Linked DNA regions of Oryzias latipes. The protein of the gene in region 3 interacts with the protein of the main gene of each other region in a pairwise test. Links are inferred from orthologs where the notes say so. Each region holds a gene or a part of one and is shown on either strand. Other genes may lie near its edges. The genes, in order: psmb4, lemd3 and smad1.

Region 1 (4,296 bases), on a different chromosome or scaffold from region 3:
AGAAGAGTAACACCAAGCAATAACAGGGAAAAACAGACTTACAGCAGCTCTGCTCGCTCAGCCCGTCGACTGTCAGGTGAGGACAGACAGGTGAGACGGGTTAGATTGTTTTTAGCTCAAACAGCCCAGACCTTGGAGGAACCTGCTGCGATCCTGATGACTCAGCTGTTGGAGTTGGACTCATCTTTTTATGAGTTTACGAGCGGACTCTGGTGCCCACGCTCCCTCGCGCCGCCTGTCTTGCTGCCTTCCGTCTCTCGCTCTTCCCCTCTGTACCTTTAACCACCTGGACCGCAGAGGTGTGGTGCGTTGCAGCAACAGGGCCCCACCTGGTTGCCATGACAACCGTGACTGTGCAGGCAGGTGTGCCAGGCTGGAAGGAGCAGAGCGCATGTTGCTGCCTGCTGAGTGTCTCCCCGCAGGAAATCACTGGTTCAATTACTGAGAGATGTTTTTTTTAAAACAGCCATGCACCTTTTAAGAGCACATTCAAGTCAAACATCGATAATCTACTTAGTTGCACATATTTCTGGTGAAAGAATGCGTGTTTTTAATGCAAACTAGGAGTAGTGGCACACAAAAAACATGAAAATACAAGAAATAACATTTGTGAAGTGATTTAAATCAGAAGATGTAATCACAATTGGACGCTAAATCAGTTATATCATTGTTCAAGCATTGATGGAAAATCTATTTACAGTCTAAATAGGGTAAACAGGGGACCGTACATCTGTGTGTCATAGTGGTAACCTGTGGAGCTGCAGCTGAGGGTCTGAGAGTCATCCAGTCTTTCACTGCATTTTTTCTACATTTTTAGCTTGTACCTCAGTCATGATCTTCTTATTCAATTCATCCGTTTTTCAGTCAAATCAGAAAGTCGGTACTGCAATGCTGACTGAGTGGAGGAGTTAGACCATTTTAAATGGGGTCGGCGGAAATGAGAGCATGTCAATCTAATTTAATTTACAAAGAAGTCTATTGAGAGCATACAAATTCTCTTTTTATAGTCAAAACTATATATATATATATATATATATATATATATATATATATATATATATATATATATATATATATATATATATATATTTAAATTATGTTGTAATAATATTTTAGTTAAATGAAATGTTTTATAATTTTTATTATTATTATGCTATTGGTTGTTGTTGCTATTGTTGTTGTTATTACTATTATTATTTCTGAATTTGTTTCCTTTTAATTCAACTGTTTTTATAAGCGTTTGAAGCAAGATTAATCTCAAATAATTTTTGTTACAGTCTTGATAAAAAAAATTGCATTGTGCTTTCTAAAAAAATTTATAAATTTAAAATGAAATCAAAACAACAAAGGAATAATTATAAAAAAAATCGCGACTTACAAAAGAAAAAGTAAAATAAAAAAACAATCAAATGGTTAGTTTATTTTGTGCAGCTTTTTCATCTTCCGGACAGCAGGGAGCAGTAGAGTTCAATTTGACGTCACGTAACGCTTATTACAACGAAACGAAAAATCTGACGTCATTTCCTGCAGAGTCAACATGGAGTCTCACGGTTTGAAGATGAATTTCTGGGAGAACGGACCAAAACCGGGACAATTTTATTCTTTTCCCGGCAGTAGCAGCAGCGGACCGGGCACATCATGCGGACCGGTCAGACACACGCTGTGAGTTCGCCACAGTGACTACCAGAACCGCTACAGTTACTTAAATCAAAACATCTTTCCGGGTTTCGATATTTGAGCTTCGTTGCTGTATCATCATGGCTGCTAAATCATGTTGCTGTGCTTATTGTCTGTTTAAATCGAGTTTAACTTTATTATACGAAGTAAAATAATACAATATGCTGTTGAACATACATTTAAACTCGGCTTAATCTCTACAATTTAGTAAATTTAATTTTAACTCGAGGAATTTAGCTAATTGTTAGCCGTCATCGTAATAGCCAACTTTTTTGTGTGTTTGTTGGACCTCAATGCATCGGGGGGTTTAAATACCTCATTTGTAGATTTATTCACCGGTTTACATCACATTTTGTGAATATTTTCCATAAAAATATAGACAAATGTTTTTTTATTTAGAGACGGCAATTATTTTAGCGTTTTTGTTTGATAAAATAATTATTAATATTCCAATGTAGACACATTTGATTTAAAATATTGCTTTTACAATAAATGTGTATTTTACTACAGTCTGCTTTTCAATCAGATTATGGATTACTGGTATATTTGAATTTCTTTCTTGTGTTTGTAAACAGGAAGCTTCTTTTTACATTCGTTTTTCAGTTTGGTATCCATGCAGATGATAGATTCTCTGTATTTAGATGCAGTTTTTTTGTTGTTGCTAATCGTACATCTTCCCCTCCGCAGCAACCCGATGGTAACCGGGACATCAGTTCTTGGAGTGAAGTTTGCAGGCGGGGTCATCATCGCCGCCGACATGTTAGGCTCCTATGGCTCTCTGGCTCGATTCAGAAACATCTCTCGACTCATGAAGGTAAGCGTTACTGTTGAAAACATGTCTAAATGAGTAAAAAAAAAAACATGGCTGATTACAGTTTGTGTTGCAGGTGAATGATAACACCATATTGGGGGCATCAGGAGACTACGCAGACTATCAGTATCTCAAACAGGTCATCGAGCAGATGGTGTAAGCTGCTGATAGACACACTAAAGCAGTTCAGTCTGTTGTATGTGGATCATGCGTGTCTCTAAAGGTCGTAATTTACATCCCAGGATTGATGAGGAACTGCTTGGTGATGGCCACAGCTACAGTCCAAAAGCTATCCACTCCTGGCTGACCAGAGTGATGTACAACCGACGCAGCAAGATGAATCCTCTGTGGAACACGGTTGTCCTCGGGGGTTTCTACAATGGAGAAAGGTGAGTCAAAAAGACGAGTTAAGGTTTTTTAAGCTAGATTGTCAGTAAAGTAGTGTAGGTTAAGTTTTAGTCTAATAAACGACAATCACTAATCAATACATTTAATACGGAAATTTTATGTCTTTAGTTTCCTGGGCTATGTGGACAAGCTTGGCGTGGCTTATGAAGCTCCAACAGTGGCTACTGGTTTTGGAGCTTACCTTGCTCAGGTATGTTTCAAAGTCAGATTTGGATGTTAGTGAGGATTTGTTATTGTTTTGACTTTGTTGTCAAATTTAAAATGTCAGGTTTCCATTAATTAAATGATGAGCGACACAACAATCTTGTTTTTTCTTTGTCCAACTGACTAACTTTGCGGAAGGATTAGACTTAAGTAAAAAAGAAAATTTGTGTTGCAGCCTCTTATGAGAGAAGTGGTTGAAAACAAGGCTGACATCACCAAGCAGGAGGCGCGAGACCTGATAGAGCGCTGCCTTAAAGTGCTGTACTACAGAGACGCTCGGTCCTACAACAGGGTAAGTGCATCTGTCGTCGATCTGTTGGGAGGCGCAGACATTTACTTAGATGTAACTGGATTTAAAGGAGTAGCTCAAAGTGAGAATTTTTTTACCAAAAGTGCAAAACGCTCTGACTTTTTAAATAAATATTGTGGATTATTAGGTTGAAATTGATATTGTGTTTTGTCTTTCAGCATGAGATTGCCATTGTAACTGAACAGGGAGTGGAAATAATCGGCCCTTTGTCTTCTGAAACCAATTGGGACATTGCTCACCTGATCAGGTAGGCTCCAGACATTTTCTGTGGGTATAAGTCTGAAACTTTCTTGTAAAACAGTGTAAATTTGACCTCCCTGGATTAATTTCTGTTTTTCATTTTGTGTCTCTGCAGCGGATTCGAATGAACTACAAGCATGTTTCATTTTTTTCATCAAAACCATAAACAACCTGCAGTTTATCGAGTTTAGTTTCTTTTTGTTGGGTCACTTTGTATAATGAAAAATAAAAATGTTAAAACTGAAAAACCTGCTTGGTTGGTTTTATTTTAAACAAAGAAATAGACAAAAACATTTAAAGTTATTTTAATTTCACTATATTTGATAGCTCCTTTTAGGGGTCGCCATAGTGAATCATCTGCCTTCATGCAATCCTCTGCTTCCTCCTTATTCTCTCAATCCACTATCAAGCTTTTTTTTTACAATGATAGATTGCAGGGGTGGGGTTTTTAGGAGGTATTGTCCATATTTGTCCATGCTGATATAACTGCATTGAAAAAAAGATTTTAGGATTCAATAATATGTGAACTTGACTCTATCCATTATTTAAAAGTATTTTTGGAATACATGGAGTATACTTAGAACCTGTTTTTTCATCAGCTTTTTACCATTTATGAATGATAATTTAAATATGTCATTTTCATTTT
Region 2 (4,065 bases), on a different chromosome or scaffold from region 3:
CTCTTGTGTTGAATGACCGTCAGTTGAGAGCCTGTCAGCAGTTCTGTGGTTTTGCGGGGCGTTCGCCGCTGTAGATCAGTCAGAAAAGAGAGGGAGGCTGTGGGAAAACAGAGGGCCAAGCAGACATTCTGGTGCCTCACCTCAACAAAGAGCCAAAAAGAAAGATTTAAAGACCCACTCTGATCATCGTCAGATCTATTTTCAAAGCATCCCCAGTGTTGATTTGATTTTATTGATTTATTTCAAGCATTGTAGTCAAAGCAATAAAGAATTTATATATTATTTTATATATTTATCAAACTCATTACAGAAATGATGAAATGCATAGATTAAAAAGACAGAAAATAAAACAAAACAAAAACCTCACTTGAATCACATTTGCTTCATTAAATACAGTGATCATTAACTAAAGTATAAGTAGAGTTTGATTTATTGCTTGAAAAGGAGTGGGAAGAAGCAAGCTTATATAATCGCACCCCTACTGAGTTAATTAATTTGATAGTTTTACATTGTTTTAAATCCGGTTCTGATCAGATAGATTCTCGTGAAGTAACAAAATCCAGTGCCTAAAAATGCTTGATTATCTTCAGAAAACATTCATTCATGATTTCAGTAAACAGTAATGGTACCGATATGTAATAATCATTGATTATCATCAGAACACACGATAACATTAAACCAGTAATTATTGCTACACATTGCAGATCAAGTAAACAAAATCAATAGCTTATTGATTGTAATTTAAAGTGTTATTTTAGTTATTATGCCGTTTTTAGCAAAAACAAAAAAAAAAACTGTGACATTTTGTAGGACATAGTTTCTGCAGAGCAGAAGGAGTTCATCAGAAATTCGCTTCTAAGCTATTGGTGGGGCTTTTCGCAAAGAATAACGCTGCCCCCTGTTGCTTAAAGCTCTGGAGCATGGAGCGTGTGACGCGTCCCGGGTATTTTCTGTGTTAAATTTAAACTCAAACTGCATTTTTTTCTAATCTGCACTTAATTAACAAGAATTTGAAAAAAACACACTCAGAAATGCAATTGTAAGCCTAATCTTCTTAATATTTGACCTCCGTTATCAGAACAAGGCTACAAGAACATGTTAGAAAGACCCTTTTAATCAGAATGAGTCTTTAAAGTAGTGAAAGATTCTCATGTGTTAGTGCTCTTTGAGTTAGTGTACACTGAATTGTATTGTTATTTTACAACGGTGCGGCAGGGGGCGCTCTGTAGCTGTTTTACTGAAGCTTCTCCATAAATCCTGAGAGAGAACAAGAAAAGCGCTTTTATTTTTCTTTTAAACCGAGATGGCGTCGGCGCAGTTAACGGACGAGGAGCTTTTTTCGCAGTTAAAGCGCTTAGGTTTCACTCCGGGCCCCGTCACGGAAAACACCCGACCGGTTTATTTGAAGAAACTGAAGAAGCTTCGTGAGGAGCAGCAGCAGCGGGGATCCAGAGTGCTGAAAAGCCGCGCTAGCACGGCTGTTAGCACAGCGGTTAGCATCGCGGCGCCGAGGCCCAGTAGACATGACGTCACGCAGTTGAGCGCGATCAGAAAGCCGGGCCGGAAGTCGTCTGTCCTCGGCTTCAGCTCCGACGAGTCTGACGCTGAAACCCCTCTGAAAAGGAAGGGCCTGGCTAAGCACAGACGGATCACCGCTTGTCATCAGCAGCTGGCCGGGCCTACAGACAAGCAGAACATCACCGGAACGACCCTGAATTCGTTTTCTAGTCCGCTGGATCATCATCAGAGCGTCCATAGCTCCAGGCATTACGACGAGTCGGGGGACGAAGGCGAGGAGGAACCAGAGAACCCTCACTCCGTCAATGGTCGTGAAGTGACTGGTTTGAACAAAACAGCGGGAGAGTACTCTGATTCGGACGAAGATGGAGTTCTGAGCCCCGGCGACCGAGAACGGAACCTACCGGAGCCTCGGCGGAGCCGCACGGCTGCGCCCATCTCTCCCTCAGACAACCGAGACTCGCAGGTCAAAGGCAAGAACAGCTCGCCCAATCCGCCCGGGTTTCGGAAGATGGTGCGGGCAGAGGACGAGGAGGTGAACGGAGAGGAGCTCGACCCTTTTGGGGGCTCGCAGAGGTATGCCCGGAAGTCCATTTACGTCTCCCTCGCTGAGCAGCGCGGAGCGAAGGCCGGGAAAAACCACTTCGACAGCGAGGACGGAGCAGCCAGAAGCAACAGCGGGGCTCGGTTCAGCGTCGGGCTGAGACCACGCTTCTCCGGCTACAGCAGCCCGGCCCAGACACACAAGGGGAACCACTCCAACCACAGCCCGCCCCCGAACCACGCATACAGCCCGACTGCTCCGAAGAAGAAGCTGTCTGTCCCGGAGGACGAACTCCTTCTGCAGTTCAGGAGGGAAGAGCCCGCGTCCTCCGGCAGCATCAGCGCCCATTATCTGTCCATGTTCCTGCTCACCACAGCCTGCCTCTTCTTCCTGCTGCTCGGCCTCATGTACCTCAGGATGAGGGGCTCCGTGGAGGCGGACAGTGTTAGTAAGTATCCAGCTGGATCAACTTTTACATGTTTTTTTAATGCATCAAAAGTGAACTTTAAACTGTTCCAAGCATTTGATCAAACATGGAGAAGTGTTACCGTTATTGTATTGCTATAGACATTCAAGAGATTCAAGAAAAATCCTCTTTTTAAGCTTTAAGTGTATTTTGATTTTTTATTCTTCACCCCAAAACAGTATTTTTTCATTCACGCCTTTTAGGGTTTTCCTTTAAAATATTTTGTTTCATTCACGCCTTTTAGGGTTTTCCTTTAAAATCCTGCTTGAGCACCAGCTCCTTCATGAAAGCGAGTGGGTCCTCACATCGTGACATCACAAAGTGAGGACCAGCCCCTTTCAGGAAGAGTCGATGCTGCCAGCACCGCCCCCTGGCTAATAGACACACCAACTTTCTCAGTGGCGCTAGCGGTGATCGGCTAAACGCTCTGGTTTAATATGCACAATATGCATGTCCATCTTTGCAAAAGTTTGGGTGTTGTTTGTTTTCATGGGAGAAACCTAGAGTCTGCCTCACTGCAGATGGCGACTCTAGGTTGACGTCATGAAAGGAGCGGAAGGAGGAGCCTCAGATCAAGTTGGACAATGAGCTGTAAAAATAACTTGTTTTCCCAAAAAAAAGTCCTTCAGTGTATCAAAGGTAATATTTATTATCATATAAATGGATCTAGTTGACTCTGAAAGGCTTAAGAAAAGCATGATATATACACCCTTAAGATGGAATCTCGAATGCCATCTGACAAACATCTGTAAAAAGAAAGAAAAGCATATTTTCCAATCTAATCTGTGGCGCTCCTGTCATGACACATCACTATTAGCTGGTTGTGATAGGTGTAGCCAGCTGGACATACCTGTCAGCTGATCAGAGGTGTTGTGACCACTGGACTGAGCGAGTGTAACGTCGCCCATAGAAAATGCCTTACTTCCGGCTCCGGCGAAATGAGGTCGTGATTTTTCCGCCACACTGACAACAAAAGCAGTGATTGGTCCCAATTGGTCTGAGTCGACGTTTCTATGGCAACCAGTCTTACCAGTCAGCAGTGAGCTTGTTTGTAGGCCACACCCATTCCGCTGAACATGGGCTCAGGATAATCTGTCAAACATTTCGAACATGTCAGGTGGGGGCCAGTGGACACCACATACTTCTAATGGTCAGTTTAAAACCTAAATAACTTACGATAAAGAAAATATGTTTTTTTCTGACCAATAGAATGATTAACAGCTGCTCATTTCTCTATAGATGTCTATGGGATTTTGGCTTCTTGGAGCCAGCAGGTACTTCCTGTTTGCGATGCCAGGGGAAGAAGTCACTCAAAAACTGTATTATTATAAATAAATAAAAAATTTATTGAGAAACAAGTTGATATCTGTTATTTAAAATTGTTAAAACAAAAACAGCACTGGCCTCACCAGACTCTCCAGGACTCCTGAAAAAAACAAACAAGAAAATCCGAATATCTTAATGAAGAAGTCAGCTGTTGATATCCATAATGATCATTTGGGTAATAACTGAAGCTCTCAAGCCTTTTAGAGGCAGC
Region 3 (4,144 bases):
AACTATTAAAGATTTCTGCTTTGTTAGGATAACAATTGTATCAAGACGTTTTTGTAAGTCAATAAATAAAGTAGTTTTTAAGTGAGTTTTATATTACAGAAGGAAAACGTTTTGGGATGTACTTTGTCAACTAATCTGAATTTATCATGCCAATTCAGTGACTATGCTTTTAATAGCTATAGCTCTAGACACATGCTTTTTTAACTGTAGTTTTTATTTTTGGCATATAAACTTTTGTCTGTGATAATAAAGTTGTGCATCTAGGAAGGTAAAATAAGAGGATGATAGTGGATGTGTGCGCGCGCCCGAGTGTGTCTGTCTGAAGGGAATCCTTTTTGCTTCAAGTTTGAAGAGCCTTCCCCCTGCCCCCGCCATCATGATCCCTATTATAACGATCATCATCATCATCCTCATCAGCGAGCCTCCACCCCTCCACCCCGTTCCCTTCTTCCCCCCACATTTATTCACGTGCTGCTCGCGCCCGCCTCACTCAGACATTCTGTCGCCAGCGCCGTGACGTCACGTGTGCCAGAAGCTTTCTGCGTCGAGAGCGTTTGCCTCCGCCTGTCTTCAAGATAATCTAGTCCCTCTCGCGGCGGAAACGCCAAATCTTAGAAAAACTATTTTAAAAATGTGACGTTTTTTTTCTTTCGTTTGAAAAATATCACATTATTACAAAACACTTGTATGTTGTTTTTTTTATCGCAATACACAGGCAAAGTGGAGAATTTTAGCTTTACTCTGTATATACACTTCCTTTCATATATTTAATATCTATGATACACTATTAGCATTTATTCCAATTAAGATACAATATATTTATTTCATTTCACGCTTGTATTCTTTGTTTCGTGGCACGTGTGGTCATGTTTCTATGACGTCTATTTACTTTTTTCCTCTATCAGGCAATTGCTTATCATGTCACAATCACAGCTTGAGGGAAACAAAATGCCTAAATGCAGTTCAGAAGTTCAGGATCAGACAAACTGCCTGTCAGGATTGCAGAAAAAAACAGAAAAAAACCAAGCAGGCTTGCTCAATTCTCTTAGCAATTTACACTTTTTAACTCTCATTTAAAAGGTGTGTACGCCAACAAAATGCACAGTCCAAATAATATGGATTTACAGAGAAGTTATGGGAGGAGTTTTTATGCTTTGAAGTTAAAAAAAAACACAGAACTGTTATGTAGTATAGGAACAGAATGGAAACCCTTTCCTTGTAAGAAATTGTTGACAATTTGCGAGAAGCTCTAACTGTTTTACAATTACATAATCCACTTATGAAGATGTAGTAGGTCTGCTCTGTGTTGGGGTCTGTGTCCCGCGGCGTAATACTGGCGCACAGGGGGAGTGTGAGGCGGCTCGGCGACTCTGTGACGCCAGGTCGATAAGACCCAACTCAGGCAGCGAGAGCGCTCAGGAGGGGCCCGGTGATTCCCAGAAAGCGTAAACTACACACAAAAAAAGGTACGGAGATATTTTTATTCCTTTAAATTTTATAAATAAAACTAATTCTAGCATATCTTGTTTATACTGCGCACCACTTTACCGAGAGGAAGGAGAAGGTTAGCAGGTTAGCAGTAGTCTGTCAGTTGGAAGCTTCAAACTTTCCCCCCTTTAATTCAAAGTCTCTGACGGGAGACTTATGTTGTTTTTTTCTTCTGTGTGGAAATCATGAAGTGATGATGATGAGAGCTCAGCATCGTTGCTTTCTAGAAAACTCTTATGAAGTACAGATTTAGAATGTGTGTGTGTGTGGGGGGGGGGGGGAGCTGCAAATGCTGTTGTTTTCAAATCTCTTTAAATGACAGAATTTAGGCTTCATTTTGGTTCAATTTCAAAAATACTTTCTTTTCACATGAAAAAAAGCAATATTAGGTGATGTAATGCTATATAGTTGTATCCCATTTCAGCCACGTTATTTCTTTGTTTAATGTCAGAATACTGAATTATAAGGCCAAAAGTGATCATTTTGAAAAATGACTAATTACTTTGATCATGTAAACTCAGTTTATATGTGCATAAACTAAATACACTCAGCAAATAATAAACCAACAAGGCAGATCTACATCATCAACTTTTGTTGTTGTAGAAATTAAATCATCCTCATTATGAAACTCCACTTAAAGATGATCGACAAAGATACAAGCTAATCATGGAGTCTCCAACTTGAGTGTTTAATATATTTTGTAAATGAAGTATTTAATGGCTTTGAAGAAATGAAGAACATAAATATTTTAATTTTTTTTAGTTTTTTTAGGCTTTGTAGACTGAAACAAGTCATGATACTAGAATGCACACAAAAATGATTGAGGATATGTAATAGACATTGTATAAAGATCAAGTGACATTTATCTGTGCTTTCTTTTTGTCTACAAAAACACCAAAAATTGTAGAAAAGTTATTGATTTTACTTCGTTATGCAACATTCTGACATGTCTTGATGAAGTGTTATTTGATTTATTACACTGCTGTTAATGAGTAATCATAATTTAATCATGAACAATTTTCCATTCTATTTTAATGTCAAACAGTACAGCAATACTCTTAAAATGAGTACATTGCAGGAATACTACTTGCTACTGTTGTTTGATTAATGATAACTACCTTTCGCTGAATTTTAAGAAGTACTTTTCCTTGCATTTGCACAGTAGTGTACTAGAGTTTTTCTGCAGTTGTGTCCATGGAAGGTAAACAAGGGAAAACACAGAGTGAGAGTCTTGCAGCAGCTCAGCCCAGATCTCCTGACATTATTGAAGATGACATATCAGATTACTCAAAGGACGGGATTTTGCCCTTGTTCGTGCTACAGCCTATACCCTGTTGTTGTTTTGCATTCTCGGGGTATGCAATGATGAGTTATGCTTGAGAAATTGTGTGTTCTTCCCTTTTCTTTTCAGTCTTTTAGGACTGATAAGAAAAATAAATGTAATGTATTTATTTAGCTTATTGTCTGTGGGTTTTTTTGTACACATGTTCGTAAAGAAATTTAGCTTTAGCATGTAGAGTTCCCAGTGTTATTGTTGTCTGTCTTTCAGCTGTGGCATTTCTTAGGGTGACTACAATCAGAAAACTGAGCTAAACTACACTGACAGATTCATTTTGCAAATGAAATATTTCTGACTATAGTGTAATGTACTAAAGTATGAATATATAGGATTAATTTGTTACACTTTTCTTGTGTGTTTGTGTGATCTGAGCACTGTGGCCTCATAGTGATAGGGGGAAGTGTCCACCCTAACACAACACAAACCCGACTCTTGAGTGCCAAGCATGTTTGAGATGGCTGCCTACAAACCCATGCGATTGCTATTTATGTCTGCTGTCCGGTTGCGTGTTGACTGATGTATCTGGAATGTAAAAATACGGCTGTAGCTTTGTAGTCAGGACAAATGTGATTCCAGGCCGTTTGCAGAGGCTGTTCCCATTCAGAGCTTCATCTCTAACTTATCGTGCAATCCTTGCCGAATCTGAGCATTGCACAGATTCGTGTTTGTGGGGGACCGTGGCCCGGTGACTCAAAGGACACTCTGGTCAATGACTATGTCTAGTCAGAAGGCATCTTGTGTGTGTCTGTGGTTATTTTTAAGCTTTACTTATACATAGACTGCTGGGTAAAATAACTTTGGCAGAAATCTGCATTCATTGCTCACTGTGGACCCTAACAGATTTTAAATAATTGTGGATGTCATCTTTATTTTGTCCAAAATAATCTCTTTATACATAAGAATTAAAGATTTGAAAATAAACAGGATGCTTTTTTTTAACAGATCAAGCCTTTATTGTTCAAAATCTATATAAAGACCTGGTCCAATGAAAATATTTTTGGTGTTTTTAACATGTTCTTATAGTATTTTTCTCATGATGGAGGACATGTAAAAAAAAAGAAAAGTGCTCAAAATTTCTTTTTTGAGTATTTCTTCATTTAAATGGTTGTAAATCAAGAGCAGTTGGAAAAAGTCTGTAGCAGTGATGTAGGTGCTGCTGCAGCCGGCAGACCACAACCCCCCTGCTCCGCTCTATTCCCATAGATCCACTTGTAGATGCATTGATCCATGTTAGTCTTTGTTTTCCTTGTCCGAGTTGACATCTGACTCAAAACTCTCCTGTTGGATCGCTCCAATATTGCTAGGCATTTTTTTTTG

The links.
Region 1: the proteins of smad1 (region 3) and psmb4 interact in binary tests that used the Homo sapiens proteins (3 or more experiments, as listed by UniProt). The link is inferred for Oryzias latipes from reciprocal best matches to the Homo sapiens genes SMAD1 and PSMB4.
Region 2: the proteins of smad1 (region 3) and lemd3 interact in binary tests that used the Homo sapiens proteins (3 or more experiments, as listed by UniProt). The link is inferred for Oryzias latipes from reciprocal best matches to the Homo sapiens genes SMAD1 and LEMD3.

The regions. Positions count from the first base shown.
Region 1 is NC_019869.2:4,417,651-4,421,946, reverse strand, and holds psmb4 (proteasome subunit beta type-4), read left to right. Parts: upstream 1-1,496; 5' UTR 1,497-1,537; coding exon 1,538-1,662; intron 1,663-2,364; coding exon 2,365-2,491; intron 2,492-2,564; coding exon 2,565-2,644; intron 2,645-2,730; coding exon 2,731-2,877; intron 2,878-3,004; coding exon 3,005-3,086; intron 3,087-3,275; coding exon 3,276-3,392; exon of another isoform or gene 3,393-3,568; coding exon 3,569-3,657; intron 3,658-3,765; coding exon 3,766-3,778; 3' UTR 3,779-3,898; downstream 3,899-4,296. UniProt on the Homo sapiens protein: Non-catalytic component of the 20S core proteasome complex involved in the proteolytic degradation of most intracellular proteins. This complex plays numerous essential roles within the cell by associating with different regulatory particles.
Region 2 is NC_019881.2:11,305,993-11,310,057, forward strand, and holds the start of lemd3 (inner nuclear membrane protein Man1), read left to right. Parts: upstream 1-1,263; 5' UTR 1,264-1,303; coding exon 1,304-2,510; intron 2,511-4,065.
Region 3 is NC_019859.2:18,353,863-18,358,006, forward strand, and holds the start of smad1 (mothers against decapentaplegic homolog 1), read left to right. Parts: upstream 1-1,337; 5' UTR 1,338-1,466; intron 1,467-4,144. UniProt on the Homo sapiens protein: Transcriptional modulator that plays a role in various cellular processes, including embryonic development, cell differentiation, and tissue homeostasis.